4 linked regions of the Arabidopsis thaliana genome follow. The protein of the gene in region 4 binds, or shares a complex with, the protein of the main gene of each other region. Each region holds a gene or a part of one and is shown on either strand. Other genes may lie near its edges. The genes, in order: AT5G11350, AT1G31500, AT3G58560 and AT1G06450.

What was found.
Region 1: AT1G06450 (region 4) and AT5G11350 share a complex: the UniProt entries of both Arabidopsis thaliana proteins name them as parts of the CCR4-NOT complex.
Region 2: AT1G06450 (region 4) and AT1G31500 share a complex: the UniProt entries of both Arabidopsis thaliana proteins name them as parts of the CCR4-NOT complex.
Region 3: AT1G06450 (region 4) and AT3G58560 share a complex: the UniProt entries of both Arabidopsis thaliana proteins name them as parts of the CCR4-NOT complex.

The regions. Positions count from the first base shown.
Region 1 is NC_003076.8:3,619,689-3,625,942, reverse strand, and holds AT5G11350 (DNAse I-like superfamily protein), read right to left. Parts: upstream 4,425-6,254; 5' UTR 4,361-4,424; coding exon 4,259-4,360; intron 4,176-4,258; coding exon 3,734-4,175; exon of another isoform or gene 3,727-3,733; coding exon of another isoform or gene 3,666-3,726; coding exon 3,499-3,665; intron 3,351-3,498; coding exon 3,285-3,350; intron 3,151-3,284; coding exon 3,098-3,150; intron 3,025-3,097; coding exon 2,943-3,024; intron 2,866-2,942; coding exon 2,816-2,865; intron 2,662-2,815; coding exon 2,580-2,661; intron 2,367-2,579; coding exon 2,274-2,366; intron 2,188-2,273; coding exon 2,155-2,187; intron 2,069-2,154; coding exon 1,980-2,068; intron 1,838-1,979; coding exon 1,075-1,837; intron 982-1,074; coding exon 896-981; coding exon of another isoform or gene 889-895; intron 781-888; coding exon 696-780; coding exon of another isoform or gene 669-695; intron 606-668; coding exon 531-605; downstream 1-530. Other genes in the region: AT5G11360 (Interleukin-1 receptor-associated kinase 4 protein), read left to right, coding at 1-107; AT5G11340 (Acyl-CoA N-acyltransferases (NAT) superfamily protein), read right to left, coding at 4,875-5,092, 5,431-5,553. UniProt on the Arabidopsis thaliana protein: Acts as a catalytic component of the CCR4-NOT core complex, which in the nucleus seems to be a general transcription factor, and in the cytoplasm the major mRNA deadenylase involved in mRNA turnover.
Region 2 is NC_003070.9:11,273,102-11,278,254, reverse strand, and holds AT1G31500 (DNAse I-like superfamily protein), read left to right. Parts: upstream 1-1,626; 5' UTR 1,627-1,720; coding exon 1,721-1,776; exon of another isoform or gene 1,777-1,780; intron 1,781-2,073; coding exon 2,074-2,338; intron 2,339-2,525; coding exon 2,526-2,575; intron 2,576-2,903; coding exon 2,904-2,973; intron 2,974-3,189; coding exon 3,190-3,314; intron 3,315-3,401; coding exon 3,402-3,514; intron 3,515-3,658; coding exon 3,659-3,794; intron 3,795-3,871; coding exon 3,872-4,019; coding exon of another isoform or gene 4,020-4,025; exon of another isoform or gene 4,026-4,128; coding exon 4,129-4,434; 3' UTR 4,435-4,653; downstream 4,654-5,153. Other genes in the region: AT1G31510 (F-box associated ubiquitination effector family protein), read right to left, coding at 47-106, 151-838. UniProt on the Arabidopsis thaliana protein: Acts as a catalytic component of the CCR4-NOT core complex, which in the nucleus seems to be a general transcription factor, and in the cytoplasm the major mRNA deadenylase involved in mRNA turnover.
Region 3 is NC_003074.8:21,650,022-21,656,143, forward strand, and holds AT3G58560 (DNAse I-like superfamily protein), read right to left. Parts: upstream 4,180-6,122; 5' UTR 3,876-4,179; coding exon 3,718-3,875; intron 3,442-3,717; coding exon 2,703-3,441; intron 2,600-2,702; coding exon 2,513-2,599; intron 2,412-2,512; coding exon 2,328-2,411; intron 2,257-2,327; coding exon 2,170-2,256; intron 2,076-2,169; coding exon 1,989-2,075; intron 1,846-1,988; coding exon 1,792-1,845; intron 1,705-1,791; coding exon 1,613-1,704; intron 1,499-1,612; coding exon 1,384-1,498; intron 1,269-1,383; coding exon 1,121-1,268; intron 1,017-1,120; coding exon 859-1,016; 3' UTR 544-858; downstream 1-543. Other genes in the region: AT3G58550 (Bifunctional inhibitor/lipid-transfer protein/seed storage 2S albumin superfamily protein), read right to left, coding at 1-212. UniProt on the Arabidopsis thaliana protein: Acts as a catalytic component of the CCR4-NOT core complex, which in the nucleus seems to be a general transcription factor, and in the cytoplasm the major mRNA deadenylase involved in mRNA turnover.
Region 4 is NC_003070.9:1,963,809-1,967,724, reverse strand, and holds AT1G06450 (Polynucleotidyl transferase, ribonuclease H-like superfamily protein), read right to left. Parts: upstream 1,886-3,916; 5' UTR 1,802-1,885; coding exon 719-1,801; 3' UTR 506-718; downstream 1-505. Other genes in the region: ACD32.1 (alpha-crystallin domain 32.1), read left to right, coding at 1-122, 381-417; AT1G06440 (Ubiquitin carboxyl-terminal hydrolase family protein), read left to right, coding at 2,820-3,916. UniProt on the Arabidopsis thaliana protein: Ubiquitous transcription factor required for a diverse set of processes. It is a component of the CCR4 complex involved in the control of gene expression.

The sequences.
Region 1 (6,254 bases), on a different chromosome or scaffold from region 4:
AGATTGTCACACTCATCCAAAGATGCACCAATCGGGACAAGAAGAAACGACCATTGATGCAAGAAGTTTTGGATGCTCTGAATTATATTGCAGGGATTAGGTCCTAATGTGAGATGTCCTTATATTGGACACAGGGACATGGATAAATGCTAGGTGTTTATTTGTAATAATTGAAAGAGTCAGTCTAGACTAAAGCTGAAAGAGTTAGGGGTTAACAATTGAAGCTATTTAAAATCAAGAAGCATGCTTTAAACTTTTATAGCAGATTTTCTGAAATCGAGTGTCGCCCAAAAAGAAAAACTCAAATATAATTTGTCACTGTAAAATATGATAGAGAAAAATACAAAACTAGAGCCTATGAGATTCTGTAAAAGTTTACTCTTAGATGTTTTGCTGGGATATAAAATAAGCTATTGGCGACCTTCAGAGCACAAACATTGCAACAAGGATGTGCTTTGAACCCAAGACCTCAACCATCTAATCTCTTTACACTTTCTTAGATTTCTAATGAACTCACCACCAGTTTAATATCAGCTTTTGGGCAGAGTTTTGCTGCTGCAGAAGGCCAACTCTGAAACCAGTGCAATGTGATCGCTTCCCCATTTCTGTAACAAACCAGAAATACAAACATAAAAAAGTTTTGTAAACAATTCAGTTAAAAAGGTAGGCTATATAAGAATATCATGGGATTTTACAGGAGTCGGGAAGCCTGGAGTCCACTGCATTGCTTGCTTTGGTATTGGAGCAAGCACACGCACTGTTTGAAGACCTTCCGACCGCCTAACCCAAACCAGAAATCAAACATGAGAATATGTCAAAACGCGCATAATTTACAATAATGAAGTAATCTAATTTTAAGGTTTGTCACAAATGGTTTTGCTTCTAATGCTAATACCATATGTAGTCAACTGTCCCCATGAAACATCTGTGATAACTGGTCACTACAGGTTCTCCGTTTTCATCCCTTGTGTTTGCTTGACCCTAACCACAAATTTCAACAGCTTCCTAAGGATATAATTTCTCAAGAAACAGAAGATAAAAGGGAAAAACTGTAGGGAGGATATATTACAATACCTCCACTTCTGAGTATGTGCTTTTAAGCTCCAGAGCATGTTCAACCGTAGTTCTCTCTGGGTCACCAGTTGCAGTTGCTATCTCCATTGGAGTCCAAGAGGATGGACTATAAGTGATTTTGTCACTATTTAAAGCTTCAGAACTCCATTTAAGTGGAACTTCACTCACAAGTTCCCCTTTTTGACTCAAGTTTTCATTGTTATCGTGTAGCTTAGCCAAAAAGGTTTCCCCATCTTCACCTAAACTTTCTTCATCTTGCGCGAATACTACTGGTTCGTCCAATTTTAAGCCATCTAGTTTCATTTCAGCCACAAAAGTGTCAACCTTGGTGGAGAGACTAGATGAAATATCTTGATCACTGGAACATATTTCCTCAGGAGTTTGCTCTGTTTCTGATAAACCGGAACTTACAGAACGATCTGTATTCAAATCTTCTCTAGCACTGGAAGCATGTTGAGGTTCTGTATCTGATATGGTTAGTGAAGAAAGATCTTCAGCTGTCGAGAGATTCCCGGAATCATCAGGTTTTCTGTTTTCTATTCCAAACTGACAATCTGAGGCCATATTCTCGCATGGTAATACTTGGTCAGAGCTGGAGGTGGCTTCGTGACCAGCAAGAATTGTATCACCACATGGAAGCTCAGATGTCTTCTCGGAGGGGGCCGTTCCAACATCTATGTTGGAGTTATTCTCCATATGAGCATTTGTGATCAAATTTGGTGGTTGAACTTGACCTTGTGGAGATTTGTTGGCGGACTGATACCTGGAAAATTGAGGAGGCCTATCAACCATGCTGACAATTGCAAAAGCAGAGTAGAACCCGATATTCTAGGGTAGACATGGAGGTGTTAAGTTGCATAACCATATACTTAATGATGTCGAAGAACTTGGTGAGTTTGCTCTACCTCGTTGTATAATTTTCTGGCCTTGGTGGACGAAACTCAGCAGAAACTTGCCCCGAAACTTTGTCTCTGGCCAAACCAGACAAATCCAACTGCAGAGAGCAGCACAAGACACAATGTGAACCATATATATAATGTTGCGAATAGGTGAAGGACTTTCCTAACAATGAAGCTTTACCTTCCGGTCTGAAATAAAGTTGTACAAAGGACTCTGCAACCAGGTGGAAGAATGTTATGACCATGTCACAAAACAAGTTTTTTGGGGTATACAAACTGGTTAAGGTAAGATTGTCCTACCTTTGGTGTACAATTGAAATCCCCACAAAGAACAATAGGCGCATCATCCCAGAGTTTTGAAACAGCATGAGCTTTATCTAAGAGTGTTCTGACCTACGTAACAGAGATAAATACATAGATGATAAATGGAAACAGTTAAAGAAACCAAGTTAAGCAAGGGGCGAAGCGTTTGGTTTCAAAAGTTTTATCTCAAACACCTAACACTTATACATGTTCATAGCGTATAGACAGAGTTAAACCAGAGAGTAAAACTGTCGTTTGGCAAAAGATTTCTACAAACTAGAATATGGCATTAAAGGAAAGTACCTGACCAAGTTTAAAGTCTCCTCTTTTAGGATTAAAAAGCACGTGAATGTTACAAATGACAACTCGATGGGAACCAGCAGAGCTGTAAAAGAAATTGGTAATTCACTTCAACCCACCCACAAAGTATAGTCCATACAGAAAACCACTGAAATCTGAAGAAAATCGGCCACTTCCTAGTGAAATTATCCACCCATAAAATGATATGATAGTAACATTTACAGATACTTTTAAGTTACCTTTCAGGTGGAGGGGTCTCATTTTCTTTTGTATGTGAAGTCAACAATGTCTACACAGAGCAAATTTAATTTAGGGCAAAGAGGCAAATGTATATAAGTCACTATCAACATAAGGTATCCATATTACCTCAAGCACACATATTTGAGCAACGTTATCTCGGAGACCAAGTTGATTGAACTGGATGCTTTCCTCGTGAACCAACTTGAATCTAATATGATAACAATGAAATCCTAAACAAGATTCCAGACTGATCCACACAAGGAAGAGCAAGGGAATCAAACCTATTGGATCGCCAAAATATTGCACATCCGTCAACAGCATTACCAGTCCGCATCTACAGTTTTATAAAATAGAGTTAACCCCACATTTGAAGCCTAGTTCTTATGATGCATACCATTTAATCTTTACTCCAAGAGAGTCCGTAGAGAATACAAACTCAAGACAACTAAAAGTTTTCAACAAACCTACCTTCCAAATAGCACTATATCCCCGGTGCTTCATCTCCTCCTCTAAGTCCTGAAATTTATCAACTTCCTGACATATACAAAATAATTTTAGATTACTATACATATGGAAGATACATTCTGTATACATATGATAAAAAAATAGTAAAGCAAGAAAGTTTTGTCTCCTTAGTCCCTCATACAAGCAATTACCAAGAAGATATAGCAGAAACTATAACCTGAAGGCACATTATATCTGCAGACCATAGGCTAAGCTCGAACACTAATTTGCTCTTTCTCCATCCCCAACTCAACATATTCCTCGGTATGTGAAAGTAAAGACTTCTCCAGTGATCATTTGCAAGGTAATCCGCCAATATATTATACGATAAAACAACAAACTTTTCTGTAGACAAGAGAAAGCAAATCAAAAATTGTATACCGGAGCAAATGAGATGGTCACGCATAAATTACCGGAGCCAGGAGACGGTGGCGTTTTGGCATATTCCCATTCACGGTAATCTGAAGGTTTTGACCGTGGCCGTTGACGAAAGCTCTGCTGTGGAGGCGGCCGGGACATCTGGTTTTGATAGAACGGAGGGGGAGGGCAAGCCGCGTAGTTTTGATTAGACGGAAACTGATTAGGTTGACGGAATTGTTGCCACTGACCTCGTGACGGCGGCGGAGGTCGAAATTCGTAATTCTGATTGAACGGTGGTTGCTGCCGCTGATCAAGCGGAGGCTGATGTTGTCGATAAGGTTCACCATGCCGGAATCGGAAATTGGCGTCATGAACTGATTGAAAATGAGAATCTCCAGTAACGAACTGATCTCTTCCCGCGTCATCATTGTACGGACGATCGGAGAAACTTCTCCCACCTCGGCCTCGTCCTCGTCCTCGGGCACCTCTGTACTGCTTCGTAAGAAACAAATTATATTCCAGTAACCGAAGCAACGCAGCGGGAGTGATAGAACAAGAGAATAGCTGAGAAAATTTACCGGAGCACGAGTAGACATGGTGAAGATTGGAGCAGAGATAGTGGAGGCGTCAGCGAAGGTAACGTCGGAGAAAACTTGAGCAACAAAACGAGAACGCCGCATTGGTCAATCGAATTGAGTGAGGAAGCTCGAGGAACCGGTGCTTAATTGCAGACACCGATGAACGGAGACTCATAAGACGTGCCGTTTTTTGATTCAAGAAGAACACATCTTCCAGTCTTCACTGTGAATAAATGGCACGCAAGCCAAAACGCAAGTCATAAATTCTTCATTTTTTTCTTTACTTTATTCTACAGCTCATAACAAGAATCATTGTCTCTCTTTACTCAAATTCATAGACCAACATTTACAAACACGATGATACTTGGTAGTAAAGCTTTGAGTTGCAAAGTTAAAAACTTTTCCAAACGAAAATGTCCAAAGCCAAGAGGACATTAGAGAAATCATGCAAGTATATAACCAGGAATTTATAAATTTAGAATCAGTAAGAAAAATTAAGGTCAACAAAACAAGCAAAACTCGGAAACCGAAGGATCATCATAACATTAATAGATCTTGAACTGAATGCAACAAAGAAACTGGGGAGGAATGGCTTCCCCAAGTTTGGTATTTTTCATCATTTGTTGGCTTCAGATTGAGCAAAGGACTTGCTGACAACGTAGCAATCTCTTGGCTCAATGTTGATGTAATAGTTTTGTATGGTATCTGTGATCTCAAAGCCGAACTTCTTGTAGAACTTGATTGCGTCTTCGTTGTTTGTCTGCACATGCAAGTATATCTCACACATGTTTTGCTTGGAGCACATGTCAAGAACATGATTCAATAGATTTGAGCCTGCAAAAGACGAAAAAAACAAGATACACAAATTATAGACATCGAGTTTTTCTTTCTAAAGCAGGGAATTCGATCTTAAATCTTGATATAGGAGGAATCATAATTCCAGTTTCTCGGTAAAACAACGATATGCATAAAACCCTAAGGACTATTTCTTGGTGGTTTGAATCTCTAAATGGAGACACTTCAAATAGAGAACTACAGAATAAACATACTACAGCTGGCCTCATGTGTTAAAACGTAAGGAAAACAACAGAATTACACAACATGCTAACAGTTTTCTTCATTATTCATGTTTTGTCGGTATTCAAGTTTTGCACAGCAGATTTATGACTTACCAATGCCAATCCCACGGTAGGGTGCAAGAACACCAAGCGTCATTATATAAACTCGCATGGCCCCACTTTCTTTCTTCTCCAGCCGACAGGCGATAGCTCCAACACATATGTCATTGTAATATGCTGAGAGGAAGTCAATCCATTATTAGAACATGAAGAATTTTCCTTGATCACAAATTAGAGAAAATATATGTAACACCAAGAACATAACTACCCAAGCAACTGCAATGAAATAGTTAGTACCAAATTTAAGACGTTGTTAACAGTCTTTAGACTTTCATAATCACATCTTATTGTACATTTAAAGAACTAGTTGACGCAAAAGATGTTCCAACCAAGGGTTTCACAAAAGTGAGCTTGAAAAAATTCTGTGAATACGAAAATTAGTCTTGGACCATGTTCTCGAAAGATAATATAAGTCAATCAGCGATAGATTACAAGGTACACATGCTTAACATACAAAAAATTTTGCTTGGTTGAACAAAAGAATGCAGTATTCATATAGTCAAACAACTTAAAACAACGATCAAGATGATACTTTGTCAACATCAATGTCATCAACCACAAAGTTCAAACATGAATCGGTAATTACGAAACAACAGACAATAGAAAGCAAACAAAATCGATCCATTCAAGGCTTAGAAAGAAGGCTTCTACCAATATTACCGATAAAATCATCTTCTTCCTAGTATCAGACACTAGTACTGAACCTAAATAAAACATGGCTCAGTCAAATAAATTCACGGAACCGAACAAAAGAGAAGACACAGATAATCACACCTATTACAATGACCAGTGAACCAACTAAACAAACAACCAAAGGA
Region 2 (5,153 bases), 9.3 Mb from region 4:
CTAATTGACCTAGTTACAAAGTGACGAATATATAGCAGAATCTTACCATTGTTCTCAATGAAGTGACTTGGATATATTGGAAACTTGGGAAGTTGAGCTATAGAAACTGTCATTAACCTACTCCAATGCTTCTTCATCAGTATATCTTACCTGCTAAGTGCGGTTCACGTAACAAAGAAAGATGATCTCCACGGAAAATCCCTAAAGAAAGAGAATCTTTCCACTGGATCCCGATGGATGAGTGATGAAGAGACTCGAACAAGGTCTCAAATCTCTCTTTTGAGAAATCGAAACTTTGTATCGAAACGGTACCGTAGATATTATAACCTATCCAATAAGGAGTTCCTCCTATACACACACTTGACAATGGTAGTCGAAAGAACCCATGGAAGGTTTTATCAACAACAACAACCTTCCAACAATCAGATTTGAAATCGTAGATTTCAACACTTAAATTATTAGGACACCGAAACCTAACCATTTTGTAATCATTACAACCACTTGGTGACTCGTTACTAATGTATCCAAGACCATATGCATCGATGGAATGGTCAAACTCAAAGCTATAGCCACATTTGATCCATCTTGCTTCTTTCAACAACGGATTGGAAACTAAAATTTTGGTTCCCATGACCATTAGCAATAGACCATCACAATGAAACATGTTGTGCTCCAATAAATCCGAAGATGAAAGCGGTTTAAAAACCTGAAAATTTAAACTAGGTTTGTTGTTGAAATCCATACCGATACAAGAAATTGTTGAGCACAATGGAGAAACTGTGGCCGGAACGTAATTGAAGACTGTGAATATCGGTTCAAGACCATGCATGTGAGACATGTGCTTGTTGACGAATATCGGTTCTGTGATTAGTGTTTTCCATTGCTTGCATGTCCTCTACCAAATTAGTTTGTAGTATGTCCTTTACCAAATTAGTTTGTAGTATTATATTTGGGTTTGTTATTTTCAATTTAGGGTATATATTTTTATTATTAAAAACTTTTTTGATTCAATTTAATATTAGATTAATGTTTGCTCTCATTTTTATTTGGGGGATTGATACAAATAGTAATAAAAAAAACTTTATTATTTAATTAATTTATAGAGGATTAAAAATTTTATATGCTATTTTGGAAATTTCAAAAAAAAGGTGTCATTTTTTGGAATAATAAAGTTTTTTAGTGTCATTTACGTCAATCCCCTTGTTATATTAATATTGGTGTGAAGCTTTTTGGGAAATATATCTATAATTTCTCATCTTATAAAGTTTTATGCTCAAGTGAGTGTTAGTATGGAAATTTTTAATTCGCAATAGTGTATATTGGTCCGTAATGGTGAATTAGTTAAATATCGATTAATTAGATTTTAGTCTGGTACACAACCATTTATAGACTAAATATCTGACAGTAAATGATTTAGAAACTCATACTAACTTATATAGTTATATATATAGGTGCTTTGGGAATTTTTGAAAATTTTGGGTTTTGGATTTTGACGTTGATTTCGATTGGATTTTTATTTGTTGGAAAGTAAATGAACCTACTAATGACCTATTTTTGGTTCTAAAGTTCCAATAAATAAAATGAAGGCTCACTAACTACTTTAATATAAAGACAGGGAGCAAATGATAATTATCGAATTCTTCACTATTTTATTTGAAAACCCACAAGAGTTTCTTCAATCTAAAGCCAAATTGGGTTAAGTCAATTGTTGTCACTATAGATGTTTAGTTCTACAACTCTGCATCATCTTCCTCGTCCGAATCTTCTTCTTCCCAGGTGGGTTTCTTCGTTTCTGTATCAATCAATATACAGTTTCATTTTCTGTAATCTCAAGTTTCGTATTTAGTAATGCAACTAAATTGATCGTCTCTGTTCATTGTCATTGGGCAATTTCGTTGAGGAATACAATTTGTTTAGAAATTTCTCATCTTTATATTGGAACCAATCCTCTAGAATCTCGAATTTATCTGGGCTGTAATTGAAATTTTATGGGGAATTAAATCAGCTTCTTAATTTTGACCTAAATATTGATGTTCAAGGATTGTTTTTTTTCCTGACCCTTTGATTCAACAGCTCTCGTGTCTGCAGGAAAGTTATTTCGAGAAGAATGAGTACGAATCCTGCAATTGAACCAAAAGTTCGCAAATTTGAATCTGTTGAAGGAGTTGATATTGGTTCAAGAAATAAATCCGATGGTTTTTTTGCTATTCCTCTTTACTTATCAAAGCTTGTGGCTTTATATAACTGTATAAGTTTAAGTAGAATTGGTACTAGTAATGAGAATTTTGTGTTTTCAGGTATCAGATTCCGTCTTGTTTCATATAACATATTAGCTCAGGTAAGAAATAATCAAGCTTTTTAATCTCTCATATGCTTTGTGATATTTTGTAGCTTAATATTTGGACGAATTTTGTAGTTTTAAACGATCTTACGAATTTCTGAGCTTGATTTATAGATACAGACAGTTCTTTTAGCTCTTTCCTTTGTTGAGTTTCTTATCTATTTGAGCTTTATATTTCTTGTAGGTTTATGTGAAGAGTGCACTTCTCCCACACTCTCCACCTGCCTGTCTCAAGTAATTATTTTTCTCTACATTTCTCAGTTTCGAGATCAAATTTACTTATACTAGTCAAGAGTTCTTTCTGTGAGTTGTGTAATCAATGGCCTGGAGTATAGTCAAGATTTGCTTCAGAAAACAACAATGGATTCTATGAATGTTTAGGAACTTAGCTATAAGCAGGCAATATTGTGTTTGGTCTTACCCACGTTAATTATCCATTACCCAATATGTACTTTGGATTTAGCGATATATTAACTTTGTTAAAATATTAGGGAATGGTGCTTCTTAAAGGGTTATGGTTTTGTAGTAAATGTGACTTGGTCTTCCTTTTCTTGTGTTGCAGATGGAAAGCTCGTTCACATGCAATTCTCAGCGTTCTCAAAAATCTCCAGGCTGATTTCTTTTGTCTGCAGGTACTTTATTCTTGTGAAAACTTCTTCTTTTGTGTTTAGGTAGTATTGAGATACCCTTTTCGTATGAAACACAAAATTCATTCTTCTCTTTTGTTCAATCCATTAGACAAGCTCAGGCCTGTAAAAATGTTAGTGTTGTTTGTTCATAGGGCCTTTGAATTGTGTTTAACAAAAGGGTGTCTCCACTTGTTAGTTATATAGTTGCAATGCTCGCAGGAAGTAGATGAGTACGATAGCTTTTACAGAAATAACATGGACTCTCTGGGATATTCTGGGATTTATATTCAGAGAACCGGCCAGAGGAAGCGTGATGGTTGTGCAATCTTCTACAAGCCAAGCTGGTATGATAAAAACATTAAGCCTGACAAGACGTTAACTTAATGCAAAAACATCAATCTGATTGAAACAACACTCTTCTTTTGATTTAGTGCAGAGTTAGTCACAAAGGAACGGATCGAATATAATGATCTTGTGGACTCAATAAAAGCAGATAGTGTTTCCTGCAGCGAACAGAAGATTGAGACATCCAACGAAGGAAAAGGTGATGAGAAAGCGAAAGATAAATTTGTCCTTTTGGAGGAAAAGAAAGCAAATACTTTGTGCTGTTTCTTTATATCTCAACATCATTACTAACTTTTATCTATGTTCTCTTCACATGTTTCCACAAATCTGCCCCAAACAAAAGATTCTCGAAAAGACAGTCGTGACCTTAATGATCCACTAGTGAGACTAAAACGTGATTGCGTTGGAATAATGGCTGCTTTTAGGATCAACAAGCCGTTTCAGCATATCGTTATCGTGGCAAACACACATCTTTACTGGTAAAAATACTTGTCACCGATTGAAGATTATCTTTTACCACCCTTTAAACTTTCATCTCATGTTTACTTATCTCTAGGGACCCTGAATTGGCTGATGTCAAGCTTGCTCAAGCCAAGTATCTACTGTCACGACTAGCTCAGTTCAAAACACTAATATCAGATGAATTTGAGTGCACACCTTCATTGCTACTAGCTGGCGACTTCAATTCAATTCCTGGGGATATGGTTTGATTCAGTTTCTTACATTGAGTTTCCCTAATTGTTCAATCTATTTGCAAAATCAAAAGATTGGGTTTACGGTGGTAAAATCCTGATACTTGTCGTCGTTTTCCAGGTTTATAGTTACCTAGTATCGGGTAATGCTAAACCCACAGAGACCATAGAAGAAGAAGAAGCTCCAGTTCCTCTGTCTAGTGTCTATGAAGTCACAAGAGGAGAGCCTAAGTTCACAAATTGCACTCCTGGCTTCACAAACACACTTGACTACATCTTCATCTCTCCTTCAGACTTCATTAAACCTGTGAGTATCCTTCAACTACCTGAGCCGGATTCTCCAGATGTTGTCGGTTTCTTACCGAATCATCATCACCCGAGTGATCATTTACCTATAGGAGCTGAGTTTGAGATTCGTCGGGAATAGGAAGTTTCGTTCTTTAGAAAGTTTTGTCGCATAACTCCATTGTTTCAGCATTTGAATATGGTTCTTGTAGAAATCATGAAGCAGTGAATCATACACACACAACACAAAGTATTAAAGGACTTGGATCATTTTTGTCTCAATAAACTCGAAATTTTCGTTGTGTGCATTGAATTACTGAGAATATTTGAATTTTCTTGAGAAGAAATTGTTTAATGTGTCTTGTTTATTGCACTCATAAAATAACATAAGAATTGGTTCTATTATTCTGTAGTCAACTAGACAAAAACAATAGAAGATTTAGTGAAATGACATGTTAATATCATATGATGATCTCGTTTCAATTTGTTGAATAAAGTTGCAACAAAATTAGGTCAAGCATTGATCTGTTTTATCTATCAACCACTAAAGTTTGTACTATCGCACCAACTTATAATAATAAATCATAATTTTGAGTACGAACGAATATTCTTTTACAGTCTCACCTTTCACCGATAATTTGAACCATTGTTATTGAATAAAGTCGTACTCTTCAAACTTTTATCCAAAATGACAGTGATGTAATGTTATGTTCCAAAAACATAAGATTTTTTCAAAACGGATAGTGATCATTCCTTTGAATATATAATCACAAACAACCGAACAAAAATATTATATTTTCTATGCTTATTATATGTTCTTATAAATAAATATCATTTAGCATAAGCTTCCCTTGAGAACCT
Region 3 (6,122 bases), on a different chromosome or scaffold from region 4:
ATTTTTACCTTGAGTGTGCTGCAACATGTTGAGTCTGGTGCTTTAGCTTTGTTAGTGACAAAAGGAAGACAAGAGTAGAGATCAGACATCGCATCCTGACATCCCTTTATATCCTGACTCAATTCTGATCTCACACCAAGGAACATTACTGCTACTGTTATGCATAGAGCCAACATTTGTGGATTTTGATTGTAAGCCATGAATCTAGCCATCAGTTAATGCAGCAGAGTAAGAACTTAATGTGGCTTTTTATAAGACTTGTTTCTTGTTCACATATGTTTCCCTCTCTAGTTATAGGGATACTCGAGAGTTCTAAGTCTGCAAGAAACTTGATTTAAAAGGATTATATAATGAGTACTGGTTAACATGTCTAATTTCTGAATTGAAATTTGAGTTTTGGAATTTGGATCATCTTCAGTTATTGGAGGGGTACATATAAAATATATCAAGTTGTTCACAGTTCGTTTTCACAGTATCTGCAAGATATCTACAAGTGAAGAGACTAGAAAATTGATGGTTAAGCTGTAGGGTTAAGAGTGTAAGGAGGATTGCAACCATAGAAGACACAGATTTTAATATGGAAAAGGTGAAGTCACTATTTTCTTGAAGAATCTAATTGTTTACATTGTTACAATCACAAGCCAGTGAAGACAAAACTTTCTGGCAAAGAGGAAATAACTATAGAAAGAAAAGCCAAGCGAACCAAGCAGTAAATAAAACTGTGATACAGAGTAGAACGCAAGCGAAAAACCCAGCGGGAGAAACCCCAGGGACATGGCCATGCTATCTACTTCATGTAGCTTAACCATATCCATTGGAACCAGTCTTTGGTATCGGGTTATTACAGCTGCAGTATCTCTATAAAATATTGTTTCGTCTGGCCCTGGGCATGCAGCGAAATTCAGCCAAAAGTGCAATGTGATCAGAAGACCATTCTGGAGATGGAAGAGCTGTGTCCTTCCTCAAGGACTCTTCATCCAACAGTTCCAACAACGATTCCACTGTTAGCGTGTCCGCTGAAACAAAACAAAAAGCAAATTGCTTACCAGATGAAAAAGAAATCTGAGATGAAAGCAAACACTGGCGCGTAAAACCCCTGAAAGTAAGCACTTAAGTTAACCTGTGTAAAATATGTAATCAAGTGTGCCTATAAAGTCCCTGGTACAGTTGGTAAACAACGGTTCACTTGATGCAGGATCCAGTCTTCTACGTTGCTGCTCAGTAATAACGTTGCCTCCCATTTTTGCAAATTGTGAGTAGGCACTAACCTGCAATGGTCACAAAGGTATGATGTCTACGCATATGTTGCCATTCTAATTAAAATTGAAGTCTGCCTTTCACGATTCTGTGCATCTGTTTTCCATTTTTGGGAAAGATAATTACCAGTGGCAGCTGATGAGTAAGCTTGCTGTGAGGACGTAAAATTCCAAGAGGATCAACCATCAAATCTGGGTGCAATGGATCGACCTTTCCCACAGCAAGAAGTGTATGAGGAGCACTGAAAATATTAAGAAGGAACTCCAAGTTAATTCAGGTAGAAACCACAATCATAATTTAATATAGAGTTTGACAATTGCTACTTGGGCATAACAAATAGGAAAACCAGCCAGACCTCGCAGGTACTGTGTTGAAATCTCCACACACAAGCATTGGAATATCTGCACTGGCAGCTATTTTCTCCAGTCCCTTCAATAATGTGTGAACCTATTTGGGCAAGAATCATTATGGATCAATAGTGATGTAAGAATCCGAAATCTGAGAGTTCTTTTACAATGAGAAATAAAGACCAACCTGCCACAGCTTTACATCTTTCAATTCATGAGGAACGTTTACATGCGTGTTAGCCTGCACCCATCAAATACATGAAAAGAGAGAAAACATGATCACCTCGAGACCTTTAAAGGAGAAGAGGAAGTGGAAACACATAACTTCAACTCTAGCATCATCTCTGACAATAAAGAACAATATTGAAAAGATGGACAACTTACCACACAAAGTAGCTGGCGCTTCCCAGGATTGTCAGCAGCCTGGCTACCGAATTTTGCTTCCAGTACAACTATTAAAGCAACATTATCCTAAAAAGAAAGACTCTAAATCAGTTTTACATGAAAAAATATCACCAAGAATGTGCGGAAAACAGAAATCATACTATAGAGCATCTCAGAGTACCTTGACCAACCGATTCAAAGCATTTTTCTTCTGGGAAACAGGGATAATAGCCTCAGTCAAAGACTGTGCAGCCTTGTTGAACTCAACCTGGATGAGCAGCCCAATGATTTAGCAAATGGGCCTAATTAGATAGGTAACAGGAGAAAACTAAGACATACCTCATATTTTTTTACATGTGAGAACCTGTCTCTTCTGAAGAAAGTAGCGCACCCATCAATTGTGTTTGTATTACCGATGAAAACCTAAAATTATCCAGTGAATCAATATTTTCTGGTTGGTACATCTTGCAGATAAGTGACCACGAAAAGGTAATGGAAGATCAAGGGGATGCGTTGAAGCAAACCTCATTTGTTTTCCTCTTAAAAAGACCTTGGTATCCGTGTTTATCCAGCTCAGGAAGAAAAAACTCCTCAAAATGATCATTCTGTACCTGCAAGATGAAAAACGAAAATATTGGAGAGGTATTTATCCATTAACTAGCAATTGAAACGTTTCCAAGTCAGTACAACTTGTGCCATAAATATTTAACATACCTCTTGTAGACAAACTATATCTGCACGGTACTTGACAATTTCCCGTAACAAATTCTGTCTACGGTATGTCCAAGCGAGAGCCCATGTGGGGCAGTAACTGTATATGTCGCTGCTAGCATATGTATCAGACAATATATTGTAGGACAGCACAGTGAATGTTCCCATAGACAAAGGCCGCCCATTAGAATCCAGGTGCCCAGTAACATCAGTTCCACTAATAGAGATCAGCCTACGCGGAGAAGGTGATGGAGCTGGGATAACACGGGAAGTCAATATGGTACAAGAAAGGCCCACATTCTGTTTTGTCTCTGCATTGACTACTACACATTCAAACTTCAAAACATGGCAAATATCATCAGCCATTGGTGTGTATGTCTTAGAGCGTCCAACCTCAACAAGTGTTTCTCCTCCGGCGCCGGTCTTTTGAGTTATGGCTGAAGGATAAACTGATGATGACCCATTCGTTAAACTAACACTGGTGCTGAGAACACCAGATCCAGACCCTGAGCTATTCAAACGGGGCAACTCTTCTTCATCATTTCCTTCTGTAGCAGCACTGGCAGCACGCTCATGCAACACACGGTGATGTTGCCACGCATCCGAAAAGCACTTAGTAGAGCAATGGTAGCTTTTGGCAACAGGAACTTTAGACTTTAGACATCCCAGACACTGCAATGTTGCCGTCTCGGATGGATGCACACTACAAATCGCAACTTTCTTATCACTCTGTACTCGAAACCTGCAACAGATGATGCATCTTTTAATACAGAACCAAAAGACAAGACTGGAGACTTATAAACCCTACTTTACAATTAAAGAAATCATTTTTCACACTCAAATTTGCAAACGAACAAAGACTTGAACTGACTAAGAAACACTTAAACAAATCATACCCGGGAATTCACAGAAAAGTCTCAAACTTTCGGTAAAAAAAAGTCGTCCATAACAAACTCGAGCAAAAGCTAGTAAAAGGGAGCAGATTTAAGAGTAAAAGGAAGCCACAGGCATGACTTACCATCTGTACTTTAAGAAGTGACCTTCAAGCGGGGCTGACTCAGGCACATCATCGGTGGAGGGGGTCTTATCAGGCCGCCGGAGAAGTACGTAAGGTGTAAGTTCGCAGCCAACAATAGGAATCTCCGACGGTAGATGCACTCGTATAACGCTAAGCATTGCTTTTACCGTAACTAAGTTAAATTCTGAAAGCAAACCAACACTAACGAAGCCCAAAGGCTGAGATTTTTAAATATATATATTGAGACGAGAGAGCATAAGATATAAAACGGATCCTAATGGATCCGTCATTTACTTGACCCTAAAACTCGACAGCATGGATGAACCCTAATTTTCCCAGAACCCTAATTTTCCCAGAACCCTAGATTTACCCCCAATTTTCTCCAAACCCGAATTTTACAACCTAAAATTTATGAAATTGAAATCCAATGAGTGGGATAGATTTGTTCGCTACGACTAAATTAATTTCCAAAGATGGACAAAGACCAAAGAAAAATACTTGGGTTCTATATTCACTGTTTTAGCCCATTAAAATTTAAAACCTAATAATAATAATAAAAGTTTAATTTAATTATAAAATCTAATTTGCCTCAAAAACAAAATTATATATCGATTTGAGTTTATTTGAAAAAATCATGGTTTAGATTTTACAATTAAACAAGGTTAAATATTGATTTGGGTTTAGAAAATACGATTAGGGTTTAGATTTTATGATTAAACGAGATTAAATATCGGTTTTGGTTTAGAAAGTACGATTAAGGTTTAGATTTTATGATTAAACGGGTTAAATATTGGTTTAGATTTATTAACAGGTTTAGATTTAACAATTAAACAAGGTTAAATGTCGGTTTGGGTTTAGAAAATACGATTAGGGTTTAGTTTTTTTACGACTAAATGAGTTTAAATGGCGGTTTGGATTTACAAAGAAGAATTAGGGTTTAGATTTTGTAATTAAACGAAATTATATATCGGTTTGGATTATAATTATAGCTTCAATTTATTATGTAATTTAAATAGGATTTGACATGACATATTTTTATTAGTTAATGCAAAAGGAGGTGAACAAAGAGGTTCATCCCCCTAGGAATGAACGCAAGTCTCGTTCAAGACCAAATATGGACTCGTATTTTTATTTTATTTTATTTTCCAAAGGGAAACAAAAAGTCTTTAATACTCTTTTTTCTATATACACATATATTCACCTATTTATAATAAAAAAGATTGAAACTTACGGAAAATATAATACAGTACAAACTATATATGTCAACTAAACTAAATAACACTTAATTAAATGATGTATATAGATTGCATAACCAAGTATATAATATTATATAGTTAACATTATAAATATAAAATTTCATGTTAAATAACCAATTAACTCTAACGTCAACCGGTGTTAACCAACAAAAATATTCAAAAATAAATTTTTACTTTATTTTTAATATTAAAAATCTAGTTTTACTAGTTATTCTATAATCAAAAAACAATTTTTACATCTACTATAAAAATATTTTGCATATATATTTAATACATTGATTCTTAAAATATTTAGCTTTTTTTAATTTCAAAACTAAACTAAAAATGAAAAAAATGATTAAAATTTTTAAAACAAAAAAAAAACTGAAATTAAAACCAGAAAAATCTTATTAGAAACATATGAGTGAAAGAATCTTTTTTTTGTATTATCAATTAAAATATATAAACTTCTTTATTCATTAGAAAATAAATCATTACAGAACCAAATACACATGACTATATAAGTTTCATAAGAAAGTAATATGAAAAACAATTGAGTATATAACTTTTTAGTCTAAATTTTGCACGGTAATTTTTAAATTCAAAGTAAATGTTTTTTACGAATAATATAAGAAAAAACTAACTATTGATTAAAAATATTTAGCAATTAAAAATTTAACTTCTTAAGAAACTAACTATTATTATTATTATTATGAATAGTTCATATCTTAAAAAAATATTTATTCTCTTAGTTTAGTTTTGAAATTGAAAAAATAAAGTAAATATTATATGAATTAATGCATTATATATATATACAAAATATATTTATATTGGATATAAATATATTTTTTTGTATTTTACAATATCAAATAACATTAATTTTTTTAATACTAATAATTAGTTTTGAATATTTTGTTGGTCAATGCTGATCAACGCTGGAGTTGGTCGACCATTTAACCCGAGATTATATGTTTATGATGTTGACGACTTGTATAATCATACAATCCATATATGTTAAGTAGTTGTATGTTTTTTAGTTTACTTGCATTTGTGGCCAATTGTTGAGTTAGCTGACAATATTTTTTTGAAATATATGTATGATGTCAAAAATATTTTATTTTTTACAAATTTTCATTGTAATATTCAAATTAGGTAGAGACAGATAATATA
Region 4 (3,916 bases):
GATGCAGGCACCAAAGCTTCGATCCTTGGATATCATAAGCAAGAAATACTACAAGGACCATTCAAAGTTTCCTGGCCACTCCCCAGCAATGTGAACAAGGATAATGTTTCCGCTGAATTTATGTAAGTAGAAGCTATACTTACTAACAATCTAACCGTATGATCAAACAACTATTCTCCTTAAATCTTTCAATCCTAGAGTTCATATGATAGATTCTGCCTGTAGGTTTTAGCTAGTAGTGCACACCTAAAAAGTAGTCGTTTTAGAATCCAATTTTACATCTTAGTGCCAGTCAGTCATTAGCTTGAATTAGTTTAGATAGAATTTAGCAAGTTTTATAAAGAGCACTAACATCCAATTTATTATTGCGTTTGAAACAGGGATGGGATTCTGAGAATAGTAATTCCAAAGCTTTGAGGGTTCATCGTTCTGAAACCATATATAGATACGGTAAACATTGTGTGTGATATAGCAGTTTGTGTGGAAAAGAAAAATATCAAATCATGAAGAAAGTTTGGTCTTTTATGTAAAATAGTTTGGTCTTTTATATATCACAGATTGTAGACAGGCATTACTCAAAGTGAAGCCATGTAAACAATCCATAAATATATAAAAATAAAATCTTCATTACTACTACCAAAAGCCAGAAAAGAAAAAGAAAAAAAAAAGAAAAAAGCTCAGAAGCATCTAATCATCCTAAAGCTGGGGAAATCTCAATCTACTCAACTACGTAGCAAGCATTATTGTTGTAATAATTAGGAACTGGTCCAAGATAATCAACAGTAGCAGATGGCGTCTGAGACGGGTATGCAAAAGTGCTTGCAGGTAGATGAGTAAGCTGCACATACGTACCGGTAGCATTACAGAACGCCCATGGGGCACCTGAAGGATCGTAGGAGACAAGCTGAGGCTGCTCATAGTTCTGGACATATCCATTGTGGAACACAGGATATGAAGCTACATTCTGCTGGCACATCAAAGGAAGAGTCGGCTCTGGCACAGGCGCAGGGGCAGGGGCGGCAACGAGGTTGCTTTTCCCAATTCCATAGATCAATCCTCTAGCAAATCTGGAATCTTCATAGACATGTTTAAGCTTGATGAAGACAAGTGCAGTCATTAAGCTGTCTGAACCAGCGTGATGTGCTCTTCCCACACGAGTGATCTGAAGTAGCTGGGCTAGTTTGCTTAACCCGAGGTGTTCACCTAGTCCTTCACAGAATCCAGCCATGACCTTGGTGTCGTAAACTTGACCGAACACTTTGACAACCTCTGTTGCAAACTCGCCGTGAGTCTCTGGTAGCTTGCCATGATTGAGGATACTCAAGAAGTAAGCGAAATCGTAAGCTCCTTGGAAAGTGACGAACTCAACGTGTTTCTGAGAACGAAACACAGTCATAAGCTTAGGGAAAAACCCGTAGCCGAACATATCAACTCCTTCGTCTCTAATCTTCTGCAAATCCAAACCATGCCTCCTCAAGAATTCGATGGAAAGCTCGTTGCGTGTGTCTGATGGGTCGCCGAAATTGGAGAAGTTAATCTCCCAAACACCACCGATCTCTCCCTTGGCGTTGAAAAGAGTGAAACCACACTGGATCAGCTTGGTGTTCTCGACATTACCTTTCATGGCTCTGTAACATTCGTCGCTAGAGGAATCGAAATAAGTGCGGAAAATAATGCCAGGGTACTCTGTATCGAAAGCGATGAGTGGGAATCGCTTGAGACATTCGGCCATACGAGCCATCTCTTCATCGACGTTGCTTCTCCATACTCTCCTCGCCAGCGGTTGATGAATCTCGTTCATGATGATGATTTCTGCAGATAATAAAAATTAGGGTTCTTTTCTTAGGAGGGAGAGGCATGAATACGAGAAGTCTTTTTGGTTTGATTGATTGTGTGAGAGCATTAGGGTTCTTTATAAAAAAAAAGAGAGTATTTATCCTTTTCTTAAATAAATTCGTGTACCTGAGTTTCCTTTTTTCTCGGATTTTTTCTAATTAATTAAAGATACATAGCTTAAGCTAATAGCTTGCTCTCCAATTAATTTTAACGCGGTGTTGATCATGACGGTTTATATTCTCTCTGATTATAATTTTATTTGTTAATTTAATTTCTGTTAAATTTAATTTAGAAATTATCTTCTTCTTTTTTAATTTTCGTTAGGAGTTAGGAAATTCTTGTAGTTATCTTTTACTTTTTGCTACTATATGGTGCTTTTACTCTCTTTTTAACCAATCCACAATTTCCTTTTTCCGTCCCAAAAAGTAAATTACATATAATTAATAGATAATGGCAAAACTTCCAATACAAGTATTAGATTAATATGTAAAATGAGTATCAATTAGTGTTTAAACTTTTGATTTTAAACACTAAGAACTTGAATGGTTATTGTTATTAGATGCTTTGACACTAATTATAGAAATCGCATCATACCATTTTAATTCTTTGTAAGTCAAAAACTTATCCATAACATTAAAATATTTTGTTTTATAAAACTTTATATTTGACAGCATTTATCCTCTCATACCAAAAGTTTATGATATCAAACTAGTATAATTATTTACTAGGCTAAACTATTATTGTATGTGTTTTATTAGTTTAAATAAATTTTATAGCGGTAATTGATTCGCTTATAGATGTGTTTTGGTCTTGGACATGAAAATACAAAGGTCCATATAATTCTTCTACTTCATTTTTTAATTTCGTTTTTTCCCTTAATGCCTGTTAGGTGTTCGATATAATTCCGCAGAGAGTGTGGGTATATACAGCGACGTTGTGGAACGCGGAAACTCAAAATAGCTCCATATACTCTTTGAGATACTATGAGGTTCCTCCTCATGAGATCACTTCTGGTTCACCCATGTGGTGGCTCCATCATCAATGTCCGATCAACGACTACGTCTGCTCAATATGTAGCTTCCAGATCAAGAGACCCTGTTTTCGAGAAGCTCATGGACAAATACAAGAACCTTCTCAAGGTCATTGCCATACAAGACCTTACCCTCGCCAATCCAACAGCTGATCCTCCCTCTCTATCCATTGAGTTTCTCTCCAGGCTCTCCCAGAAGCTCCACCTTAATCGTGGCGCTGCTTCTTTCCTGCGAAAGTATCCTCACATCTTTCATGTCTTGTATGATCCTGTGAAAGCTGAGCCCTTTTGCAGGTTAACTGATGTAGCCATGGAGATTTCTCGCCAAGAGGCTTTGGCTATCACTGCTACTTTGTCTCTTGTTGTTGACCGGTTGGTTAGGCTCTTGTCTATGTCCATATCAAAGTCCATTCCGCTTCGTGCGGTTTTTAAGGTTTGGAGAGAACTTGGGCTCCCAGATGATTTTGAGGACTCTGTGATCTCAAAGAACCCTCATCTTTTTAAGCTTAGTGATGGTCATGAATCCAACACCCATATCTTAGAGCTGGTTCAGGAAGAAGAGAAAAGACTGGAATTTGAGGCCGCGGTTGAGAAATGGAGGGTGGTTGAGTGTTCTAAGGAGGATTGCAGTGTCGATAGAACCGAGATTCAGTTTAGTTTCAAACATAGTTACCCACCAGGAATGAGACTGAGCAAGACATTTAAGGCTAAAGTTAAGGAATGGCAGAGGCTGCCTTACGTAGGGCCATACGAGGACATGGTTGGTAAGAAGAAGAGTAGATCCGGTGTGATGGGAATAGAGAAAAGAGCGGTTGCGATTGCTCACGAGTTCCTGAATCTGACTGTAGAGAAGATGGTGGAGGTAGAAAAGATCAGCCATTTCAGAAAATGTTTTGGGATTGATTTGAACATAAGAGATTTGTTCTTGGATCACCCGGGCATGTTTTATGTGTCAACTAAAGGGAAAAGACACACTGTCTTTCTCAGAGAGGCTTATGAAAGAGGACGTTTGATTGATCCAAATCCTGTTTACGATGCGAGGAGGAAGCT